Linked DNA regions of Xenopus tropicalis. The protein of the gene in region 5 purifies or fractionates together with the protein of the main gene of each other region. This does not show direct contact. Links are inferred from orthologs where the notes say so. Each region holds a gene or a part of one and is shown on either strand. Other genes may lie near its edges. The genes, in order: rpp38, ibtk, rpp40, pop1, pop7 and rpp30.

What was found.
Region 1: the proteins of pop7 (region 5) and rpp38 purify together in Homo sapiens (co-immunoprecipitation; 3 studies listed by BioGRID and IntAct, with this or other methods). This does not show direct contact. The link is inferred for Xenopus tropicalis from reciprocal best matches to the Homo sapiens genes POP7 and RPP38.
Region 2: the proteins of pop7 (region 5) and ibtk purify together in Homo sapiens (affinity purification with mass spectrometry; 3 studies listed by BioGRID and IntAct, with this or other methods). This does not show direct contact. The link is inferred for Xenopus tropicalis from reciprocal best matches to the Homo sapiens genes POP7 and IBTK.
Region 3: the proteins of pop7 (region 5) and rpp40 purify together in Homo sapiens (co-immunoprecipitation; 4 studies listed by BioGRID and IntAct, with this or other methods). This does not show direct contact. The link is inferred for Xenopus tropicalis from reciprocal best matches to the Homo sapiens genes POP7 and RPP40.
Region 4: the proteins of pop7 (region 5) and pop1 purify together in Homo sapiens (affinity purification with mass spectrometry; 3 studies listed by BioGRID and IntAct, with this or other methods). This does not show direct contact. The link is inferred for Xenopus tropicalis from reciprocal best matches to the Homo sapiens genes POP7 and POP1.
Region 6: the proteins of pop7 (region 5) and rpp30 purify together in Homo sapiens (co-immunoprecipitation; 4 studies listed by BioGRID and IntAct, counting the BioPlex papers as one, with this or other methods). This does not show direct contact. The link is inferred for Xenopus tropicalis from reciprocal best matches to the Homo sapiens genes POP7 and RPP30.

What each region holds. Positions count from the first base shown.
Region 1 is NC_030682.2:31,854,856-31,858,924, forward strand, and holds the start of rpp38 (ribonuclease P protein subunit p38), read right to left. Parts: upstream 2,801-4,069; 5' UTR 2,702-2,800; intron 2,634-2,701; exon of another isoform or gene 2,539-2,633; intron 1-2,538. UniProt on the Homo sapiens protein: Component of ribonuclease P, a ribonucleoprotein complex that generates mature tRNA molecules by cleaving their 5'-ends. Also a component of the MRP ribonuclease complex, which cleaves pre-rRNA sequences.
Region 2 is NC_030681.2:88,844,923-88,848,422, reverse strand, and holds part of ibtk (inhibitor of Bruton tyrosine kinase), read right to left. Parts: intron 3,250-3,500; 5' UTR 2,904-3,249; coding exon 2,580-2,903; intron 1,196-2,579; coding exon 1,099-1,195; intron 1-1,098. UniProt on the Homo sapiens protein: Acts as an inhibitor of BTK tyrosine kinase activity, thereby playing a role in B-cell development. Down-regulates BTK kinase activity, leading to interference with BTK-mediated calcium mobilization and NF-kappa-B-driven transcription.
Region 3 is NC_030682.2:88,074,105-88,077,604, forward strand, and holds part of rpp40 (ribonuclease P protein subunit p40), read right to left. Parts: coding exon 3,447-3,500; intron 2,102-3,446; coding exon 1,976-2,101; intron 495-1,975; coding exon 302-494; intron 1-301. UniProt on the Homo sapiens protein: Component of ribonuclease P, a ribonucleoprotein complex that generates mature tRNA molecules by cleaving their 5'-ends. Also a component of the MRP ribonuclease complex, which cleaves pre-rRNA sequences.
Region 4 is NC_030682.2:129,314,851-129,317,773, forward strand, and holds the end of pop1 (ribonucleases P/MRP protein subunit POP1), read right to left. Parts: coding exon 2,822-2,923; intron 2,591-2,821; coding exon 1,936-2,590; 3' UTR 1,616-1,935; intron 1,533-1,615; 3' UTR 821-1,532; coding exon of another isoform or gene 691-820; 3' UTR 501-690; downstream 1-500. UniProt on the Homo sapiens protein: Component of ribonuclease P, a ribonucleoprotein complex that generates mature tRNA molecules by cleaving their 5'-ends. Also a component of the MRP ribonuclease complex, which cleaves pre-rRNA sequences.
Region 5 is NC_030679.2:152,167,106-152,171,287, reverse strand, and holds pop7 (uncharacterized protein LOC100037866), read right to left. Parts: upstream 2,789-4,182; 5' UTR 2,772-2,788; intron 1,213-2,771; 5' UTR 1,210-1,212; coding exon 826-1,209; 3' UTR 501-825; downstream 1-500. UniProt on the Homo sapiens protein: Component of ribonuclease P, a ribonucleoprotein complex that generates mature tRNA molecules by cleaving their 5'-ends. Also a component of the MRP ribonuclease complex, which cleaves pre-rRNA sequences.
Region 6 is NC_030683.2:36,834,767-36,837,424, reverse strand, and holds the end of rpp30 (ribonuclease P protein subunit p30), read right to left. Parts: intron 2,443-2,658; coding exon 2,405-2,442; coding exon of another isoform or gene 2,377-2,404; exon of another isoform or gene 2,333-2,376; intron 1,491-2,332; coding exon 1,411-1,490; intron 903-1,410; coding exon 802-902; 3' UTR 501-801; downstream 1-500. UniProt on the Homo sapiens protein: Component of ribonuclease P, a ribonucleoprotein complex that generates mature tRNA molecules by cleaving their 5'-ends. Also a component of the MRP ribonuclease complex, which cleaves pre-rRNA sequences.

The DNA.
Region 1 (4,069 bases), on a different chromosome or scaffold from region 5:
GGAGGCAAGTTTTGGTTGCATAAAACCCAGTGTAAAGCCAAACAGAGCCTTCTATAGGCTGCCAATCCACATAGGGGCTACCAAATAGCCAATTATTATTTAGAGCTCTAAATACAATGCTGTACAGGTATTGGACCCCTTATCCGGAAACCCATTATCCAGAAAGTTCCGAATTACGGAAAGGTCATCTCCCATAGACTCCATTTTAATCAAATAATTCACATTTATTATAATAAAACAGTACCTTGTACTTGGTCCCAACTAAGATGTAATTAATCCTTATTGGAGCCAAAACAGTCCTATTGGGTTTAATTACTGTTTAAATAATTTTTTCAGTAGACTTAAGGTAAGAGATCCGAATTACGGAAAGTACCCTTATCCGGAAAACCCCAGGTCCCGAGCATTCTGGATAACAGGTGCCATACCCATACAAGCAATGCTTTTCTGAAATTTGCAGTTTCTATAGAAAATTATGAAAATTCTAAGAAATCGCCTCATCTTCCACTTTCAAGCATCATATCTCTCACATGGCATTAGGTACCAATAAACAATACCCTAAATATGAAAGCCAAGGGGCCACTGAACAGTTTGATGCCCATTGTGCATAGGATTACCAAAGTACCTGGCATTTAGAGACCCCAAAAGGAAGTTAGTGCATACAAATTGCACAGGAGATCTCTTCAGCTACTGAATATGCAACACATTTAGTGCATTTTTTGTGGTGTAAGACACACAAAAAAATACTCTGACCCCCCTAAAATATATAAGGAAAGTCTGGAATAATGCTCCAAACCTGATAACATTCCAAGAATTTCTGTATGCTATAGTAATTCTAATGGCAAATCGCTTGTTATGCACTTGACACAATTTAGAGGACAAAATCCATAAATACACAAAATTCCTTCACAAGCACAATCACATATGTAGTTCTGCGTTGCGGAATGAACCTTGACATGCACGTGTGACAATAGTACATAGAAGTAAGGCCACCGATACAGGAATCATTATATTTTTTTGTGTAGAAGCGGGCACAATGTTTCAGTCCCTGAAGCAAGATCTGGGGAGAAAATTAGTGTATTGATCCTTTAACGGCAAGCAGAACCCTGCATGTGCTGTAGCATAGTTTATCCTATATACAGGTATGGGATCTCTTATCCGGAAACCCACTATCCAGAAAGCTCTCCAAATAATACAGAATTTTAAAACTGATTTCCTTTTTCTCTGTAGTAATATAACTGTACCTTGGAATTGATCCCAACTAAGATGTAAATAATCCTTATTGGATGCAAAACAGTCTTATTGGGTTTAATTAATGTTTTATTGATTTTTTAGTAGCCTTAAGGTATGGAGATCCAAATTACGGAAAGACCCCTTATCCGGAATACCCTTGATCCCGAGCATTCTGGATAAAGGGTTCTATATTCAAGTGGTTTCAAACAGAACTGTATATAAAACAGTGTCCACACAAAGAATAGAGAAAGATTGTTTTATATCAAGAACCCAGTCCAATACTAAACAAAATCAGAACTCAGATGAGACAGGCAGCCAACAACTCTGTGACCCCCGGCTTCCTGCGCAGTGAAAAGACAGGAAACATTTGGTTCAGGTTCAGTTGGCTGAATATTGCCAGGAATCTCTGGCTTCATCCAATAAGGATTAACTATATCCTAGTTGGGATTAAGTACAGGTACTGTTTAACTATTACAGAGAAAAGGGAATCATTTAACCATTAAATAAACCCAATAGGACTGTTCTGTCCCCAATAAGGGGTAATTATATCTTAGTTGGGATCAAGTACAGGTACTGTTTTATTATTACAGAGAAAAGGGAAATCATTTAACCATTAAATAAACCCAATAGGGCTGTTCTGCCCCCAATAAGGGGTAATTATATCTTAGTTGGGAGCAAGTACAGGTACTGTTTTATTATTACAGAGAAAAGGGAAATCATTTAACCATTAAATAAACCCAATAGGGCTGTTCTGCCCCCAATAAGGGGTAATTATATCTTAGTTGGGATCAAGTACAGGTACTGTTTAACTATTAAAGAGAAAAGGGAATCATTTAACCATTAAATAAACCCAATAGGGCTGTTCTGCCCCCAATAAGGGGTAATTATATCTTAGTTGGGATCAAGTACAGGTACTGTTTTATTATTACAGAGAAAAGGGAATCATTTAACCATTAAATAAACCCAATAGGGCTGTTCTGCCCCCAATAAGGGGTAATTATATCTTAGTTGGGATCAAGTACAGGTACTGTTTTATTATTACAGAGAAAAGGGAATCATTTAAAAAAAATAGAATTATTTGCTTATAATGGAGTCTATGGGATATGGCCTTTCCGTAATTTGGAACTTTCTGGGTAACAGGTTTCTGGATAAAGGATCACAAGAACGCTTGGACAGGCCTCCTCTCGGCTTCCATTAGGTTTCTGTCAATAAAATGCACATCCCATTGGAGGGGACATATTTTCACTCACTCAGAGTTGATTGGCTCTACTATATATGTATGGCACATGGAGAAAGAAAGTGACTAACCGCAGGACAAACGGGAGCTGAAGTGAAAGTGCCACAGAGCCCCATGCTGGGTACACAGACACACCGATGCAGCCAGGCCCAGGCGGTATCAGCGCCATATAGAGAGATAATAGTGTCAGGCTCCCCTCCTGATAGCTTTCCCACAGTCCCACGGTTCGCCTACCTTAGTGACTAGGGTTAACGGAGAGTCCAACTCCCGGCGGAGGGTGGGCGCACTCATTTTGCGTAATGACGTGACGTCACAGTCTCGCAAGATGAGATTTGTGACGCCTGAATTAGCCGCTTGCGGAAGTGCGGGAGACTTTAAGGTGTTGCGGGATATTTAAACAGCGATCTGGCGGTGCGGGATGTGCGGGATGTGCTGAGGAGCCGGACTATTGGGCGGTAGGTCCCACACTGACTCCCTGTATGTGTTTCCCCAGCCGGTCTGTGTGCGGCCCCTTCCTTCTGCCTTTGTACCACATTGCTGTTGGGAATAACACACATGCCAAGGCTAAAGAACTAATCAGATAGTGCAAACATGCTGGGAAAGAAAGTGTGACGGCAGCAGAGAAGGGGGACAAATAGCAGAGTAGGAAGGTACTGAAAAGCAGAATGAAATAAAGTACAAAACAAGAGAAAACAAAAGAATGGGCGTGATGGAGATTAAAATGGTAATATAGAAATAGGGGAGAGAGAGGGTTAAATGAAGGGAAACTAATAGGTGGGATACAATTATTATATTAGCTTAAAGAGATAGGTAAGAAAGGAAACACAGCAGCAAGAGAAGTAGCAGGGCGGATGGGGAAATAGATGTGTCTGTGCTGTATCTGTGTATTACATGTGTGTTGGCCTGGGCTCTGGCTATCCTGGCAATGCAGGGGTTAAAAAACTAACAAAGAAGTGCAGAGAAAATACAGTGAAGATAAGTGGAAATAATAATTCAGGATTTATGGTAAACAAAGAGATGGTGGGACAATAAGGAAAGGTGGAGCAGAAGGTAAATGGGAAAGCAAAGTAAGGAGAATTGGGAAAGCAGCATAAGAATGAGAATACAAGTTTAGAATAATTCTGTAAAGAACAGAGACAATGGTTGTTCGGAGAGAAGGGTACATAAAAAAAGATGGCGGAGCATTAAAGCAAGTAGAGAAAGGCTCTCTGAGAATAAAGCTGGCCATACACGCACCGATACTAGCGTACGAAACCTCGTTTCGTACGATATTCGGTGCGTGTATGGCATGTCGGCGAGTCGACCGATATCACAGGAAGCTGCTGATATCGGTCGACTCGCCGATCGGCCAGGTTAGAAAATTTTGATCGGGCGCCATAGAAGGCGCCTGACCAAAATCTGCCATCAGGGCTGAATCGGCAGAAGGAGGTAGAAATCCTATTGTTTCTACCTCCTTATCTGCTGTTTCAGCCCTGACTGTGTGTGGCGAATCTGACGATGTTTCGTGCGACCGATGGTCGCACAAAACATCGTCAGATCGCCACGTGTATGGCCAGCTTAAGGCTGGAGACCGATGATAGAGAAAAGAAGAGAGTAAAATTC
Region 2 (3,500 bases), on a different chromosome or scaffold from region 5:
CTGTAGCTTCTCAATCTGTCCAAAGGACTACATCATAAACTGTGAGGATTCAGCTTGCCGTTTGCTTCAACGAGCTCCCCCTCCCTCGATCCTCGCATCGCATCGTGAACTAGATAGCAGGCAGGCTTGACCTTTCCATTGCCTGCCTGCTTCAAAGGGCTGCCCCCCCCCTCTGCTCTTCGCATGAAGAATTTAAATAGCGGGCCTGCTTCTAAGGGCTCTCCCCGCTCTCTCCAACAGAGCTGAAGCTTGTCACACACCGGCAGAAAGCAGAAGGGGCATTGCAGGTTTGTTATTGGGCATATTTATTCACTTGGGAGGCATTTAAATTAAACCCCGGAAGAGGGGAACAAACATTGCTGCTCCGTGGGTCTGTAATTTGTGCTACCATAATTATGAAGCGAAAAAACTTTGCAGATTTAGTTTATAAGGAATTTAAAGCTGATACAAATTAAAACACAACAGAGGGCGTAAAAATTTTTTTTTAATTGGCTGTTAGTATCACTTTAAAATGGCAGCTGCTATATTAAGAAAGCTTCTAAAGCTGTTTACTCAGGTATGTTAATGGTTTCTGCATAATAAATATATTGTTATAGGTGGCACTAATGTGGCACATCTATTGGCAGTAAAAGGCCAAAATGACTTTTCTTCTCCTTTAAACTGGTTTATGACAATTTTCCTATAAGAAATTCATAAATCTGAATCTGCAATTCTAGAAAGGAGAGAGGAATTCAATGCAAGTGTGCTGCACCAGTATGACTCTGGTGTATGTTCTCGGTGCCCCAGTTGAACGTGAATATCAGACTAGACATTTTTGTAATATAATGAGTACTGGAAAGTACTACACTATCATTGTTTCATGTGGTATCGAAAACTCAAAAAGCAAGTATTGTTACCTGTGAGAGGTGCGGTGTGCAATTAATAATCATTTTTTTTTATACATGTTCATGGCATACTGGTGTTTACATTGAGCAGCCTATTGAAAGTTGCACTGAGTAAATCAATAAATAAACAATATTAAAGGAGTTCCTTACAGTTTTGCAACTGGTTTTAAGCTTGGAAGTTATGGAAAGAAACTAGAGAGATAATATGTCATACCGCTAGTTTTGAAAATAATGTGGGGAGGTCTGTCTTTCATTACCACATCCAACGGAGTATATCCATCTTTATCTTGAATGTAAAGGTTACTGCCATGCTATGGAAATAAAGACAAGTAAAAGTGAGATACTATAATCGCTATACTAAAAAAGGCTTCACTGCAATACAAGATCATCAATATTTTACAAGAGTGTCTTAAAGCCAAATTTCCTTTTATATAAGTAACCAAGACGTAACTCTCTGATATACATGTATAAATTCACATTAAAGGGGTGGTTCACCTTTAAGTTAACTTTTAGTATTTGATAGAAAGGCCAGTTCTAAGCAACATTTCAATTGATCTTAATTGTTTTTCATAGTTTTTGAATTGTTTACCGCCTTCTTCTAACTCTTTGCAGCTTAGTTGTCATTGACAACTGAGCCAAAAAACTATTGTTTTGTGAAGCTACTGTTTAAATTGTTATTATTACTTTATATTACTTATTTTTCTATTCAGGTCCTCTCCTATTTATATCCAGTCTTTCATTTAAACCACACCCTGGTTGCTAAGGTAGTTTGGATCTTAGTAACCTAATAGCAGCTGAAAGGCCAAGCTGGAGAGCTGCTGAACAAAAAAACTGATTTTTTTTTTAAAAAACTACAAATAAAAAATAACCAATTGCAAATTGTCTCAGAATATTACTTTCTACGTTATACTAAAAGGTGGATAACCCCTTTAAGATAAAATGTAAAAAAAACTTTAGAAATAAATATTCACAAATGTTCAAATGTTCACTTGCACTTCATATTTTTTTTTTTTTCATTTCTATATACAGCCTGGTGTAAGTCTCCACTTTTCAAAAGCTGTCTGGTTATAATATTCCTCTTCACCTCCTATAAAATTGAAGTACTGTGTAAATCCAGATTTCTTGTTTATTTAAGCTCAAGCTAACAAGTCAAAATATAAACTAAGACTAGGACAAGCCCTCAAAAATGCTGGTGACCCAAGGATACTTCTTATACTAAGATGTTCATTTGGGGGTTTTTTTGGGTGAATTAAGGAAGTATGGGTAATCCCAAGGACATGACCAGTTTCAGGTGGTTACAATACTTTGGGGAGGGCAGTTCCTTTCCTAGCATATGTGTTAGAGCTTACTCAGATAACCAACTCCTGCACAAACAAGATCGAACAAAACAACTGACTCCAGCACAAATCCTAAATGTAGAGAGAGAGTATTTCTGGTTATTTTCAAAGAGTGATCCCTAATACATCTTTCGGCAAAGGGAGCACTTCTAAAGCATCTATTAGACATTACGGACAATCAAAATCTGACTCCAACTACTGCATGAGGAGAGAATAAAGACACAGACTGAGGAATAGTAAATAGTTACTTTAGACATAGTATACAATATTTAATTATTATATTTAGAAAGTTTCTTATAGAAGTGAGCTAAACCTTATATTAGTTCCCCTTTAAATACAATGTATCTACACTACTAACCTTTAAGAGGGATAATGCACAATCAATATGTCCGTAGAAAATGCTTCTGTGTAGTGCTGTCCATCCTGATTCTTTGTCTTTGACTGACAAGTCAACACCTTTTTCTGTAACTAACCAATCAAGTACATTTTTCTTCCCACAGGATGCTGCAATATGAGTAACATTCCGCCCAAAGGTATCTTTTAGTGTAGTAGCATTACAGCAGTAAGAAGAAAGGAAGATCTTTATCTGCTGTTCACTTCCTCTAGTCACCACGGAAATAACATCCAAGGCATGCTGGAGAGAGCGACAACGTGTAGTGCACTCAGGCCATACTCTTTCCATTTCTTTTCAATCTGACATTTCTTCTTTGCAAATGTCACTGCAGTGGAAGCAAATTCCAAAAAAGAGCCCAAGTACCATAGAAAACTCATACCATGATATCCCTATGGTTTTTTTGTGCTATACAAATAGATTTGGCACTTCATTACAATTAATAATAAATATTACTATTACAAAGCAATCCCTTACAACCCACTTCCACAAGTTTATAAGAAAATGTTTGTGCAATATAATCTTGTTCTTATGTTCAAGACATGAGTCCAGCAGCAATATAGAGAAGAATGTAGAGGGAGGGACAACCCTCCACTCAAACTTCTGTCCTTTCAGATCTCCATGATTGCAAATATATCTGTGCAGAACAAAGAAAAAGAAACACAGATTATATACAAGAATATACTGTAAGAAAGAATGCAATAGAATTGTTAAAAGCCATCAAACATAATATATTCTTTAACTGTGTCATACACTAGGGCGTGGTAAAAGAAAGACACATTTTAATGTATTCATTACACAGATGAAAAAAAGACCAAGGTCCATCAAGTTCAACCCCTCTAAGCAAACCCCAGCACACAAACATAGACCAATACCACACATCTACAC
Region 3 (3,500 bases), on a different chromosome or scaffold from region 5:
TTATTAAAAATAAAGATTTTTTTTGCATAGTTCATGATCCAGTACATGATTTCCTTGACATGGTTTAAGTATTAGGATAAAGACTGGATTACAATATCCCGAAGTGAACCAATACAAGTAGAAGCTTTTATTTTTTTTTTATGTTCTTTTAACCTTACATGACGCACCACATCACAGCACTCATTGCAATATAAAAAAGTATAAGGAGGCATCTATATAAATGAAGATGGGGGCATAAAAAGCTACAGGAGCAACATGTCTGTATGTAGTGTCTCTTAATAATTGTTACAGTATTACCCACCAGTCAATGCTATTGCTCACAGCACCGAGCCAGTCAAAAAGCTCTTCAGAACTACAAGATTCTTCAGGTTTCCCATGCAGGTCTCCACTCTTCAACACAGGGCAAGGCAAATCTCTTGATATCCTTGAAGTTATTTTAAAGTTACACTCTTTCACAGTGTATTTACAAAAGTATGACAATATGGAAGGTGCTCCTGAATACAAAACATAGAGAGGATCACACTGATGTGGAGCAGAAACATCACAAATTGAAATATATAAATAAAAAGAAACACTGTGTAAGCGGAATATAAATACTCTGAAAGATAAATTCCATTTACTGTACATTCCTTAAAACCTAATTTTGCCTCTTTTTAGGTCCCTGGTAAGGCCTCACCTTGAGTATGCAGTGCAGTTTTGGGCTCCAGTCCTTAAGAAGGATATTAATGAGCTGGAGAGAGTGCAGAGACGTGCAACTAAACTGGTAAAGGGGATGGAAGATTTAACATAAAAGGTTAGACTGTCGAGGTTGGGGTTTTCTTCTCTGGAAAAAAGGCGCTTGTGAGGGGACATGATTATTCTTTGCATGTACATTAGAGGGGATTATAGGCAGATAGGGGATGTGCTTTTTTCACATAAAACCGACCAGCGCACCAGATGCCACTCCTTTAGATTAGAGGATTGTTACATCCATTTGAAGCAGCGTATGCGTTTTTTCACGGTGAGGGCAGTGAGGTTGTGGAATGCCCTTCCTAGAGATGTAGTAATGGCAGATTCTGTTAATGCCTTTAAGAGGGGCCTGGATAAGTTCTTAAACAAGCATAGTATCCAAGGCTATTGTGATACTGAAATCTACAGTTGGCATTCATGTTGGTATATAGGGTTTTTTTTATGTGGGTCGGTATAGGTTGTGTGTGCTGGGTTTGCTTGAAAAGGTTATACTTTTTCAACCCTATGTATCTATGTATGCAATTTTTCAACTTAGCCAAAAATATTTCAGTGGTTTAAAAGTTATTTGTAAATGCAATTTCAATTGAAAGCATTCTCTGCACTCCTGGATCTGAATCCTAAACCAATATTGCAAGCCATCAGATTAAATAACCAAGAGGAGAACCGACTCCTGTTTTAGACCCAGAAAACCCAGTTTTTTTAAAAAAAAAAAGCTGCTTTCAATAGCAAGTTATATTTACAGACAACTTTAAAACCATGAAAAATTATGTAAACTTTCTCTGTGCTTCGCCAAGATTCATTTTCTGTTTTCAGGAGCTTCTGCTATATCTGCATTATAATTGCTAATAGCAGTCAGCAACCCAAGGGGTTAACAAAATGGAGGGAGTGCATAGCCTGCTAATAGCAGTCTAAACCTGCTTATATCTCAGAAACTACCAAAGACAGAAAATTAATGTAAACTACAAAAACGCTTGGAAGGACCACTCTGAGTAAGCTCATACCAACTCGATTTTTTGGGTGGACATCCCCTTTAAGTATTAAGAAATCTCAAATCTAACATGCATGTGCCAAGTTTTAATATGAAATGCAACACCATTTCCAGCGAGAATTTTTTTGAGTGTACTGTAAGTCATTTTCATTGCACTACACCATTAACTCATTCAGGAGCTAAGGTCTGTGTCTGTAAGTAAACCAAAATAATGTACTGTAAATAAAGGGTGTACATTGTAAGATTCATCAAAACTACCTGTGTTATCCCAAGCTAGGAGAAAGTCACATTTTAAAGGTTTCTTTTCAGTAAATGCCCAGTTTAGACGCTGAAATTTCTTGCCACCAGGAGCTAGACCTTCTTCAGTTAGGTCAATTTTAATAACTGTAAAAAAAAAATTTGTTTTGAATATGCAGTTATCTTTTTAAAGAAATATATGCTCTCTGACACTGTCCTTAAAAAGGAATCATTGCTATTATGAAAAAAAAACACCAAAACTATAGTGGAAGTTTTTAATTTTAATCCTTTTCTTATAGCTGTTTATATATTTAACAGCTTATTTAGATTTTCTCAACATGACTTTTTCTTACAGCTGCAAAAACACATCACCTCTAAAGGTGCCCGTTATGATCTAAGTGTTGCCAACAAGGCCAAACAATCAGATTGGCTCAAAATGTAGGTGGCCAAATCAGGCAAAGATCCACTCAATTGGCAACCTTGCCAAACAAGCACATCTTAAAGGACAAGGAAAGTCAAAATCTATTAAGCACACTATTAAATAGTACTACTATTGCTGTGTAAAAACGCTATATTTCTGGCTTGCCTAATAAAAGATTTACAGAGATACACATACTAGAAACTACATAGTTGTTTCAGTGAACGGCGCCGCCATCTTGTCCAGCATGTCTGTATGGGCCATTCCACCCCCCCCGCTGAGATCCCCGCACCTACCGGCTCACAAACCCCCAGACCCCACCCCGCTACGATCGCCTCAGCTACCGGCTCACAAACGCCCTCCCCCCGTTCCGATTCCTGCATCTGCCGCCTGCCAGCTCACACAAACCCCCCCTCCCCCCGCTCTGATCCCCGCCCTGCCGTCTGCCGGTGTGCATGCCACAGAATAGCACTTATAGGGGTGTTGCTGAAAAGCACAAAACCAGTCCCCCCCCCTTGCACAGTAATAAACAATGCTTTCGGTCTCCAATAGAGAGGCGCTTAGAATATCATGAAGTCGGGATAACAAGTCCTAAGGACAAAAGTCTAGCTAAAAGATACTACAAGATTTTGGCAAGCTTCATGTCATGCAATTGACAATATGTTGTCTTCATACACAGCTCCAGCCTATGAAACCATTCTAATGTGCTCCATGATATCAGCTGGACATGAGAAAAAGTATCAACGGTGCCACCTTGAAGGCAGAATATAATTTAATTTGCTGTGCATGGCACAGAACAGCACTTATGGGGGTTGAGATTAACTCTTACTAGCCTTTCCTTCTCCTTTAAGATGAATGGCATACTATATCAGCACCCCAGGGAATTCACATTTCCTTGTCCTTTAAGCACGATTAAGAATAAAACTTAATAATGAGGGCAGTCGTATATTTTCCCTATCTACTGCAACAAATTGCCAGAAAAACACATATGTGCTGACATGCACTAATATGTATTTTACAATTACTTAAAAAACAGTAACAGAAAAACTATAAAGATAAGAATAAAATACTTACTGTATCGCAGAGGGTTTTTACCAGAATAAAGGGATGGTTTGCCTTGAAGACCCA
Region 4 (2,923 bases), on a different chromosome or scaffold from region 5:
AAGTTTAACATTTTGGGCAGCCAAGGAGTTAACCCTACAATCACAAGGAAAATAGTTTCACCAACATCAGCATTTCTCATTGCTCTCCTATCAACATGTTTGGAATGACTGCCTATAGACTGGAATAAAGGGATAAATTGATATTAAATTACTGCAAGGGAGAATGCAGAGCAAAGACTGTGTTTCAATATCGCCATCTTGTGGCTGATTGTGTTTAATGCTTTGAACTTCCCAATGTATAACCAATACACAATGCAAGAGAAGCAGGGGACGGGGGTGCTTACAATCATCACACAGTATCATATAATCTATTTATGATTTTACCAAAGAGGTTGCCCTTCTAAAGGCTGGAAACTCATAACAAATGTCCATCTTGCCTGACCCTAATCCCATGTTATCATTTAATGCCAAATATAACATTTTGCATAATTAAAGACAATGTTGTTCTAAGCAACTACCAATGTTCGTTCAATAAATGAATATTAAATAAAAGGAGGAAAGGAAGTCAACCTGTTCATTTATTTGAAGTAACCAGATGCCAAAATCCACATTTTGTTGTGCAGTTCTTTATTTCTTTGTGTACAGTGCAAATGGCTGTGCCCAGCCTAGCACCCTGCGTCCGGGACTCCTTAAGGCATTTTTCATACATCTGAACTCCTTAATGCATTGCAACATAAACATTTGCTTTTATTAAGGAAAAACAGAAAATAAATATACATAACTTATGCACAAAGGAAAGGCTACATAATGGTTAAATAAAGCAGCAGGAGTATCCTTCTCCAAATATAAAGAACAGCGCACATTGTACAGGCGTCCTTTGCTAAAAAAGAAAAAAAAAAAGCCTATTAATGTTGCTCAGTTCACAATAAAGAATACTGAATTCTATTCTTTATGCTGAGATGTGAGACCCATTAATCACAAAGGCTGCTAAATGGCAAGGAAGGAGTGGAGGATGCAGAGAAGGGCACAGGATAATGAAATGATGGGCCCACTGCCAACTCCTCACTCTCATTTCAGCACTCTCATCTATAGCTTTGGTGGAGATGAAGGGACAAGGCCAAGGGAAGCTGTCACACATAAGCGCTTCCTTATGTTACTTAGAGACCCTACAGTAGCATATGGGCCCATGAGCCCACATGCAGGCAAATTCATCCAGAAAGGCAGTCAAGGGACTCTTGACAGGACATAGATATTGATCCCCCAGTGCATTAACTGGGCTATGATATACACAAATACAGCCCCCTGCTGTTTAACCTGGGCAAGGGCAGGAAATAACATCAAAAGCTTGATTTAGTGAAGCAAGGAGTGTCACTTCTCTGCTCACGTCTATAAATCATGCCAAACTGAGCAGTAGAACTACTGAAGGAGAGTCCAGGTTGAACAGCTCCAGTTACACATTCTTGATATTCGCAATGTATAAAATTCATGTACATTATGTGACACATAGAGTTGATGTCACCTTTTAAATGTATGGGGCAGGGCCGCACCCTCTATTGGTCTTGTATAGGTGACTAACTTCATGCAGACCCACTTGACCTATAGGTGTTAGTATTCTGTAATGCTTCCACAATTCACTCCTCCCCCTCCCCCCACCCCCCACGCCCATCCTGGGTGTACAACACATTATATCCAAGCTAAACTGGAACTATTATGTGCATGCTGGTCCCACCTGAGCGATCTGGGTCTATGTTACAATGCACACAAATCCCTACTGCTGAATTGAATTCTGAATACAAGGAGGAGCTGGAAACTCCCCTTTCTATGAGGTATTACTTGTCTTTGGATTCATTTTCCAGTCGGTCTTTCATGCAGCTATTGAGTTGAGCAACCCATATAACTGAAACCTTTTATTACTGCTCAGTAACTATAGTAAATGAGTTTGTCACAGGCGCTGTATCTGGAGCAGACATGCAGAGGATTGAGTTACAGTTGTGTCTATGCAGCAACCATTATTTTGGCAAACCTGTACTGCAAAGAGGACGGGTTTCTAACCAGCACAAACCCAGTCCTGTTCACAGGATGACCAGACAGCATGTCTATAAGGCCAGTTAAGCTGACAAACCCTAATGACTCCCCACAGCCGGCGGCCATAGAAAAGTCCCCATGGGTGACGAATCCGAGCAGGGTTCTACAGCAGTGACTGATGACCGGAGGTAGAGGATTAGGCCACAAGCCGAGGGTAAGCTGATCACTGTCATCATCCCTGGACATCTCTTCCTTTTGTTGTGGTGCTTCCTTCTCCATTTTAGCTTTTGCTTTCTTCTTCTTTGTCTCCTTTTGATGTTTCAGTACTTTCTTCTTGATGGGATCTCCATGCTTAGGCTCCTGAGGGCCAGCGAATGATTTGTCAGTAGCAAGTTGCACCAAGTCCTGCTCAGAAGGTATACAGATCATGGCATGGAGTTCTGGGGTACCCTTTGTCAGCATGGTCAGCCTGACCCATACCAGGGAGCGAGGGAAAGTGTGCAGAACCTGCAGTAGCATGTCGGATGGTCCGTGTGGAGCAGGACTGGGAATTTGCTTGGATCTTGGGCCTCTCTGATTACACAGACTACACAGTGTACAAAGCTCCTTCAGAATTCTTTTGTTCCTGGCATTTAATGAAAATAGATAAAGGCATAAGAACAGACCCCTGGCTTATATCTCAGGCCAATACTCAGAGCAGTTATTCATTAAAAAGCAAACTAAAATTGTAAGAGGTGGTGCATTTGCATTTACAGGGCTGCGGGAGGTGCTATACTGTTTGCCTTTGCAGGGCAATTCCCCACAGACAGGTATTTATTTGCATAATGTGGATGTGTAAGTAAATAAGCCAGCCTACCTCAACACACACACACCGGCTCCACCTGCTTTTTCCATATCCAGCTCATTTCCCATGGTGCCTTGGGAACCAGGTTCCATTCTCACGTCCTCCTGTGCCTCT
Region 5 (4,182 bases):
TCAGTTCACGGTAACCATTTGTGCTTTATAGAGCCTGTACGGGCTGACGCACCTATTCCCTAAGTAAGTGGAGGCGGAGCCTAAAGAAACATAACGGGAAACCCGGAGCAGTTGGGACCTCCCACTTTTCCCCAGTTGGGGGGCAGGCAGCAGATTTAACCCTTTACACACCATTAGAAGCTGGAATGCGCTATGGGCCCCTAGCAACAGAATGGGTTGCTATGGTGCAAATGCCGAGGGGGCTCAGTTGTCCTTATGAAGAGGTGTGGGGTCCATTTTCCATCCATTCCCTCAGCCCCTCCCCCTTTACTCCACCCCAGCCCCTCCCACCCCACTCCTTTACTCCCCCTCAGCCCCCCCCCCTTTTATTCCAGCTCAACCCAGCCCCCCCAACCCCATTCCTTTACTGCACCTCAGCCCCCTCTGTAATTCCTACTCAGGCCCTCCCCCTTTACTCCAGCCCCTCCCCCTTTACATTCCATGTAGAGAGAAACATCACATGACCAGAATGATTTAATGGATGACTGACACAAGAGGCAGGAATTACTGAGCGTCTCTCTGAGCATGTGCAGTGGCTGTGAGCCCCCGCCCCCTCTGTGTCAGGGGCACTGCACATGCTCAGTGTGCGTTGGTGCAGCTGATTGGCTGGTACAGAAGCCACAAGCTTGGGCGCAGGTCCGGTTGCTGGAATGGTAAGTAGGGACGTCCCAACATGGAGAGAATGTGGCGCCACAGGGGGATCGGCCAATCAGCGCTGCCCCTGGCACCATTGGCAATAAGGGCTGTTACCAAGGGAACATAAGTACCATTGCCCCGGGCAGCCCCTCACTCTCCCTGCGGCCGATATACGCGGATATGAATGGCAGAGTTATTCCGGTTCCGGGCTCCGGGTTCCATGTCCTCCCCACCCTCGGGTTCTAGATCGTCGGTGAGTTCCACGGTGGAGGTGCTGGGGGAGAGGAGCAGGGTGCCGGGGTGGGACAGCTGCAGCTGCAGCGCCAGGTTAATGGCTCGCCCAATGGCCAGGCCCAAACCGTGCACCCGAACTTCCCTCAAGCCCCCGGCACCGAGAAGCTGGCGGCACCGAGCCAACTGGGCCCGGAAATCAGTCTTTGTATTGACATAAATGTCACTTGGGCTCCGAGGCGGCCGGGGGGCGGGGCGACGTGTGTGAAGGCCCCGCCCAGGAAGTGATTTCTGTTCCGCCATCTCCTAAAGGGGAAGATAAGCAGTTATTTACCATCCAGAACCAGCTGTGCGGCCCAACAGTCTCCTTCCCACTAACAGAACCGGCCCAACAGTCTCCTTCCCGCTAACAGAACCGGCCCAACAGTCTCCTTCCCGCTAACAGAACCGGCCCAACAGTCTCCTTCCCGCTAACAGAACCGGCCCAACAGTCTCCTTCCCGCTAACAGAACGGCCAACAGTCTCCTTCCCGCTAACAGAAACCGGCCCAACAGTCTGCCTTCCCGCTAACAGAAAACCAGTCTCCTTCCCAAACAGAACCGGCCCAACAGTCTCCTTCCCGCTAACAGAACCGGCCCAACAGTCTCCTTCCCGCTAACAGAACCGGCCAACAGTCCTCCTTCCGCTAACAGAACCGCCCAACAGTCCTCCTTCCCGCTAACAGAACGCGGCCCAACAGTCTCCTTCCCGCTAACAGAACCGGCCCAACAGTCTCCTTCCCGCTAACAGAACCGGCCCAACAGTCTCCTTCCCGCTAACAGAACCGGCCCAACAGTCTCCTTCCCGCTAACAGAACCGGCCCAACAGTCTCCTTCCCGCTAATAGAACCGGGTAAGGGGGTAGGGGGGCCCGGGGTAGGGGTAGGGGGGCCCGGTAAGGGTAGGGGGCCCGGTAAGGGGTAGGGGGGGCCCGGGGAGGGGGTAGGGGGGGCCCGGGGGAGGGGTAGGGGGGCCCGGGGGAGGGGGTAGGGGGGCCCGGTAAGGGGTAGGGGGGGCCGGGGGAGGGCAAGGGGGGGCCCGGGGAGGGCCCGGGTAGGGGGGGCCGGGTAAGGGGCAGGGGGGGCCCGGGTTAAGGGGGCAGGGGGGTAGGGGGGGCCGGGGGAGGGCAGGGGCGGGGCCCGGGGGAGGGGTAGAGGGGCCGGGGGGAGGGGGAGGGGGGGCCCGGGGGAGGGGGGCGCCGGGTAAGGGGCAGGGGGGGCCCCGGGGAGGGCAGGGGGGGCCCCGGGGAGGGGTAGGGGGCCCGGGTAAGGGGCAGGGGGGGCCCGGGGGAGGGGCAGGGGGGGCCCCGGGGGGAGGGGTAGGGGGCCTGGGGGAGGGGTAGGGGGGGCCGGGGGAGGGGGAGGGGTAGGGGGGCCCGGGGGAGGGGTAGGGGGGCCTGGGGGAGGGGTAGGGGGGCCCGGGGTAAGGGGCAGGGGGGGCCCGGGTAAGGGGCAGGGGGGCCCGGGTGAGGGGCAGGGGGGCCCGGGGGGAGGGGTAGGGGGGCATGGGGGAGGGGTAGGGGGGCCCGGGTAAGGGGCAGGGGGGCCCGGGGGAGGGGTAGGGGGCCTGGGGGAGGGGTAGGGGGGGCCCGGGTAAGGGGGGTAGGGGGGGGAGGGCAGGGGGGAGGGCAGGGGGGCAGGGGGGGGAGGGGGCCCGGTGGGAGGGGGAGGGGGGCCGGGGGAGGGGAGGGGGGGCCCGGGTAAGGGGTAGGGGGGGCCCGGGTAAGGGGTAGGGGGGGCCCGGGGGAGGGCCCGGGGGGGGGGGGCCCGGGGGAGGGGATGAGGAGTCGGACACACTAGGGAAGGAGAGACCCGTTACCCATCATACCTCACTTCAGCTCTCCCTACACAATGACAGACGGATCGCCGCTTAGGACATGTTTTTTTAAGGAGAGCCGCTTCTGACGCAATAAAGAGAGGCCCCTTAGTACCGAGTAATAACTGCGCGCCAGAGGGAGGCGCTTCCCCACACGCATGCGCAGAGCTGTGCGGAGACACTCGGGCGCCATGTTTGCTGCTGGAGATATCGGAAAGCTGTGGCCTCTCACTTCCGGTTTCCTGCTAATGGGCCCTGAGTATGAAATGGGGGCGGCGCTTCTGTTGTGCCTTCTGCCCCTTATATACCCCCATATATATATATATACCCAGTGGGGTTAGGGAAGGCCCCCGTGTCCCAAGGAGAGAAGGCCCCGGTACCAGCCCAGTGGGTTCCACATTACAGAGTTTATTGTATGGTCCCTGTATATATAGGTAGTGGCCGGGAGTCCCAAGATGGATGCCCTTTACTGGAACAGATCCCTACAGGCAGCGGTGGCTCAGGGGTTAATCCTATGCCTGGGGTACTAACCCTTACGTTCCCCTATGGTGGGGCGGCAGCCGCTATTATATACCCTGCTGCCATTACTTATCCTCACTGGGGCCAATGGCCCCCTAGCCCATACCTCCCAACATTTGAAAAATGAAAAGAGGGACAAAAAGTTTTGGCGCGCGCAGCACTGCAATTTTTGACCACACCCACTTTTGTGGCCACACCCCAATTACCACACCCCATTTTTAAAAAAAATACTCCTTTTATATAGATGAAATGGCGGGATCAGACGCAAATGTGCTATACCCTCATACTGTACTGCCTAAGGGAAACAATATAGCAACTCCTACATATAAATACAAATATAGAGAGAAGGCAGTCAGTTATATGTGAGTTATAACTATGTACCAGTTTTGCCCCCCATACACAGGTGCCCCCCATACACAGGTGCCCCCCATACACAGGAGCCCTCATACACAGTACCCCCATACACTGTACCCCCATACACAGGTGACCCCCATACACAGTACCCCCATACACAGGTGCCCCCATACACAGTACCCCCATACACAAGTGCCCCCCATACACAGGTGCCCCCCATACACAGATGCCCCCCATACACAGTACCCCCATACACAGGTGCCCCCCATACACAGGAGCCCCCATACACAGTACCCCCATACACTGTACCCCCATACACAGGTGACCCCCATAGACAGGAGCCCCCCATGCACAGTACCCCCATACACAGTAGCCCCCTATACACAGTAGCCCCCCATACACAGTAGCCCCCATACACAGTACCCCCATACACAGTACCCCCATACACAGTAGCCCCCCCATACACAGTACCCTCATACACAGGTGCCCCCATACACAGTACCCCCATACACAGTAGCCCCCCCATACACAGTACCCCCATACACAGGTG
Region 6 (2,658 bases), on a different chromosome or scaffold from region 5:
TGGATAATGAACATGAATTCTTATGAAACCATTGAGATACAGTACAAAGCAAGTTAAAATGTGGAGCTCCCGGACTGTGCTTTTATTTATAGCACGTAGGTATGAAGCTCACAGCACTGTACAGCATCTCAAATTTTACAATGAGTTCTTATACTTTACTTAACTGGCAAATGCAGGTCAAGGCCCTACATATCACTGGGCATCTTTTGACAAAGTGTTTTTAACTAAATGTGTAAATGTTAAAAGGTGACATATGTAAGAATTAGGAGAGACCAATAATGATCATTGTCATTTTATCTGGCGGTCATTCTTTGCCCTCTAGTGGTGGGTACAGTGTAACTGCACTGCTCTTTCATTGTCTCATCTCTGTATGATAATATGACAATTAGCAAGACGTGTATACACTGCATCATAATGGCATATAAATATATTTAAAGCAGAGTAAAACAGAATATGGAGGTTTGAAACTGTTTCTAGAGACAGACTAAAGAGATCTTTAATTCATTGTATAATGGCTCTTTAATAGAAATACAAATCTCAAATGTTCTGCAGCAGAACTGCGTCAAAAAAAATACTCTGTAGTCAATCTATTATTATTGTTATTATTTAACAATAAACATTAAACAAAAGGCAAAGTCTTTTCTCCATTGCTATTTATTGGTTTACAAAAATAGCTGCCCTGGATATAAATAAAAGCAAAAATAGGTCCATCCTGCAATGCTGGGTAGTAATTCTGCAACTTCACTTGTTAGGATTAACACTGCATCAGGGAAAAGCAAAAATGAGTAGAAATCTATGTAACTAAGATTTCTTGGCTTTTTTACAAACTGGTTCCGCTTCTTCCTCTTCCAAACATGTCTTCTTCACAGTGTACACGACACCAAAAGCAGTCTTTCTTGTTTCTGCATGGGGAACAAGATACAAAAATTATATTGGTTTGCAGGTTGGTTATTCGATGCTTGACAGATGCTGAGACTCTGAACAGTCTTTAGTATTCCATCTGCTGACCCACTAATACATATGCCTGTATGTTTTTGGACTACCTGTAGGAAACCCATGAAAACATGAAAGAACCTACATACTCCTTGCTGATAGTGCTCTTACTAGAATCAATCTTAGGTCCCTATGGCTGCTAATTTTGGAGCCACAGACAAGCCCAAAAAGGGATTCTCTTAAAGATGCCCTAAAACTCGTATATGCAACTTATAGATTGTACCACAATCTTTTAGAAAACTGGCAAATCCTATAAGAATGTAGGGGCTGTAGGTGCTTTACACTGCTTTCTGCAGTGCCCAAACACAATGGGGGCCATTTAAGAGGCCAAACTTGGAAATATTTCTTTGTTTGGTGATTTTAAACAGCTCTAGCTGCAACACTGCTCTTACATTACATATCCAAGGCATGGCTTACCTCCGTGCAGAACAGCAGAACGGCAGTTTGTAGATACGGCAGCCTTGGCAACTCCTTCTGTCAGTCCAAACAGCAAGCCTCTGTCAGTGATTTAAGGGTATTAACTAAGAATGACATGAGAAATACTTTTCAACAGCAAACATTTGACCTATTATTTTACTAATTTTGTTAGAATATTGGCAATTAGTGCATGATGTATCTCACCTTTGTAAAATGTCTGCCTGCCCTTTTTCCTTTTCCTAATACCGTCCTCTATTTATAGACATAAATTCCCTTTCCCTTCTTTTTTACACCAGAATAGTTTTTTTTTGTTCATTCCTAAATGATAATGCCCTGCCCATTAAGTCTATTTCCCAACTGCTTCATTAGCTTTATCTATGCACCTTCTTATAGATCTGTACAAAACTCACTTCCCCCTCTGTCATCAGGTTACCCCTCTATGTACTCCACTGAATTTATACTGACAATTCAATTTCTACTCCATCTCTTATTCCTCAGTTTGCATTTTACTTTACCTATTATCCCTATATATATTTAGCCACTTATGGTAACAAGGCCAGTGACTGGCCCAGCAACTGTACCTAAGTCCATTTTTCTAATAATTCAGCAGCCTGTTTTTATAATTAGTTAATAGTAAAGTTTCTGAAGAAAACAGATCTGTTTTACCAGTGCATGGCATACATTATATTGTAATTACTATAAAACACTTTTTTTGTGTTACTGTTCCTTTAAGATGTGATTGAAAATGCGATGTCCTGGCTCGTTCTGCCTGAAACGTCAAACATTTACAGTCCTTATTTCCCTTTAGAACTGTAAGACTCACTCACTGAAAAAAATGTTCTATCTTGAGCCAGCCAATTATATACACAAATCCATCATAATGTTTTTGCCCCTATATAACAAATGTTAGGAATGTACTTACCTCTACTCCCATGAGAAAGGTTCCACAGAATTAATTCAATTAAGTTACAGTACAAATGCTGGAAAAGGATACAGTGTTGCAATATCATAGGGGCCTCTCATTTCCAGTGCCTATAATTTAAGAAAAAAAAAAGTACAGAAGGCATATGGTGTTGCAAGTGTAATAAATCTTAGAATGCTTCTGTAAGTGAAGAATAACATTGGAGAAGCCACACTGAATAGTATCAGGCTTCTCTTGCCTAACACAGATAAAATGAATTGTCACTTATTCCTGTAAGTTTGTTTAAGAAGAGAATGAGCAAGTTAGATAGATACCTACTGAATGAC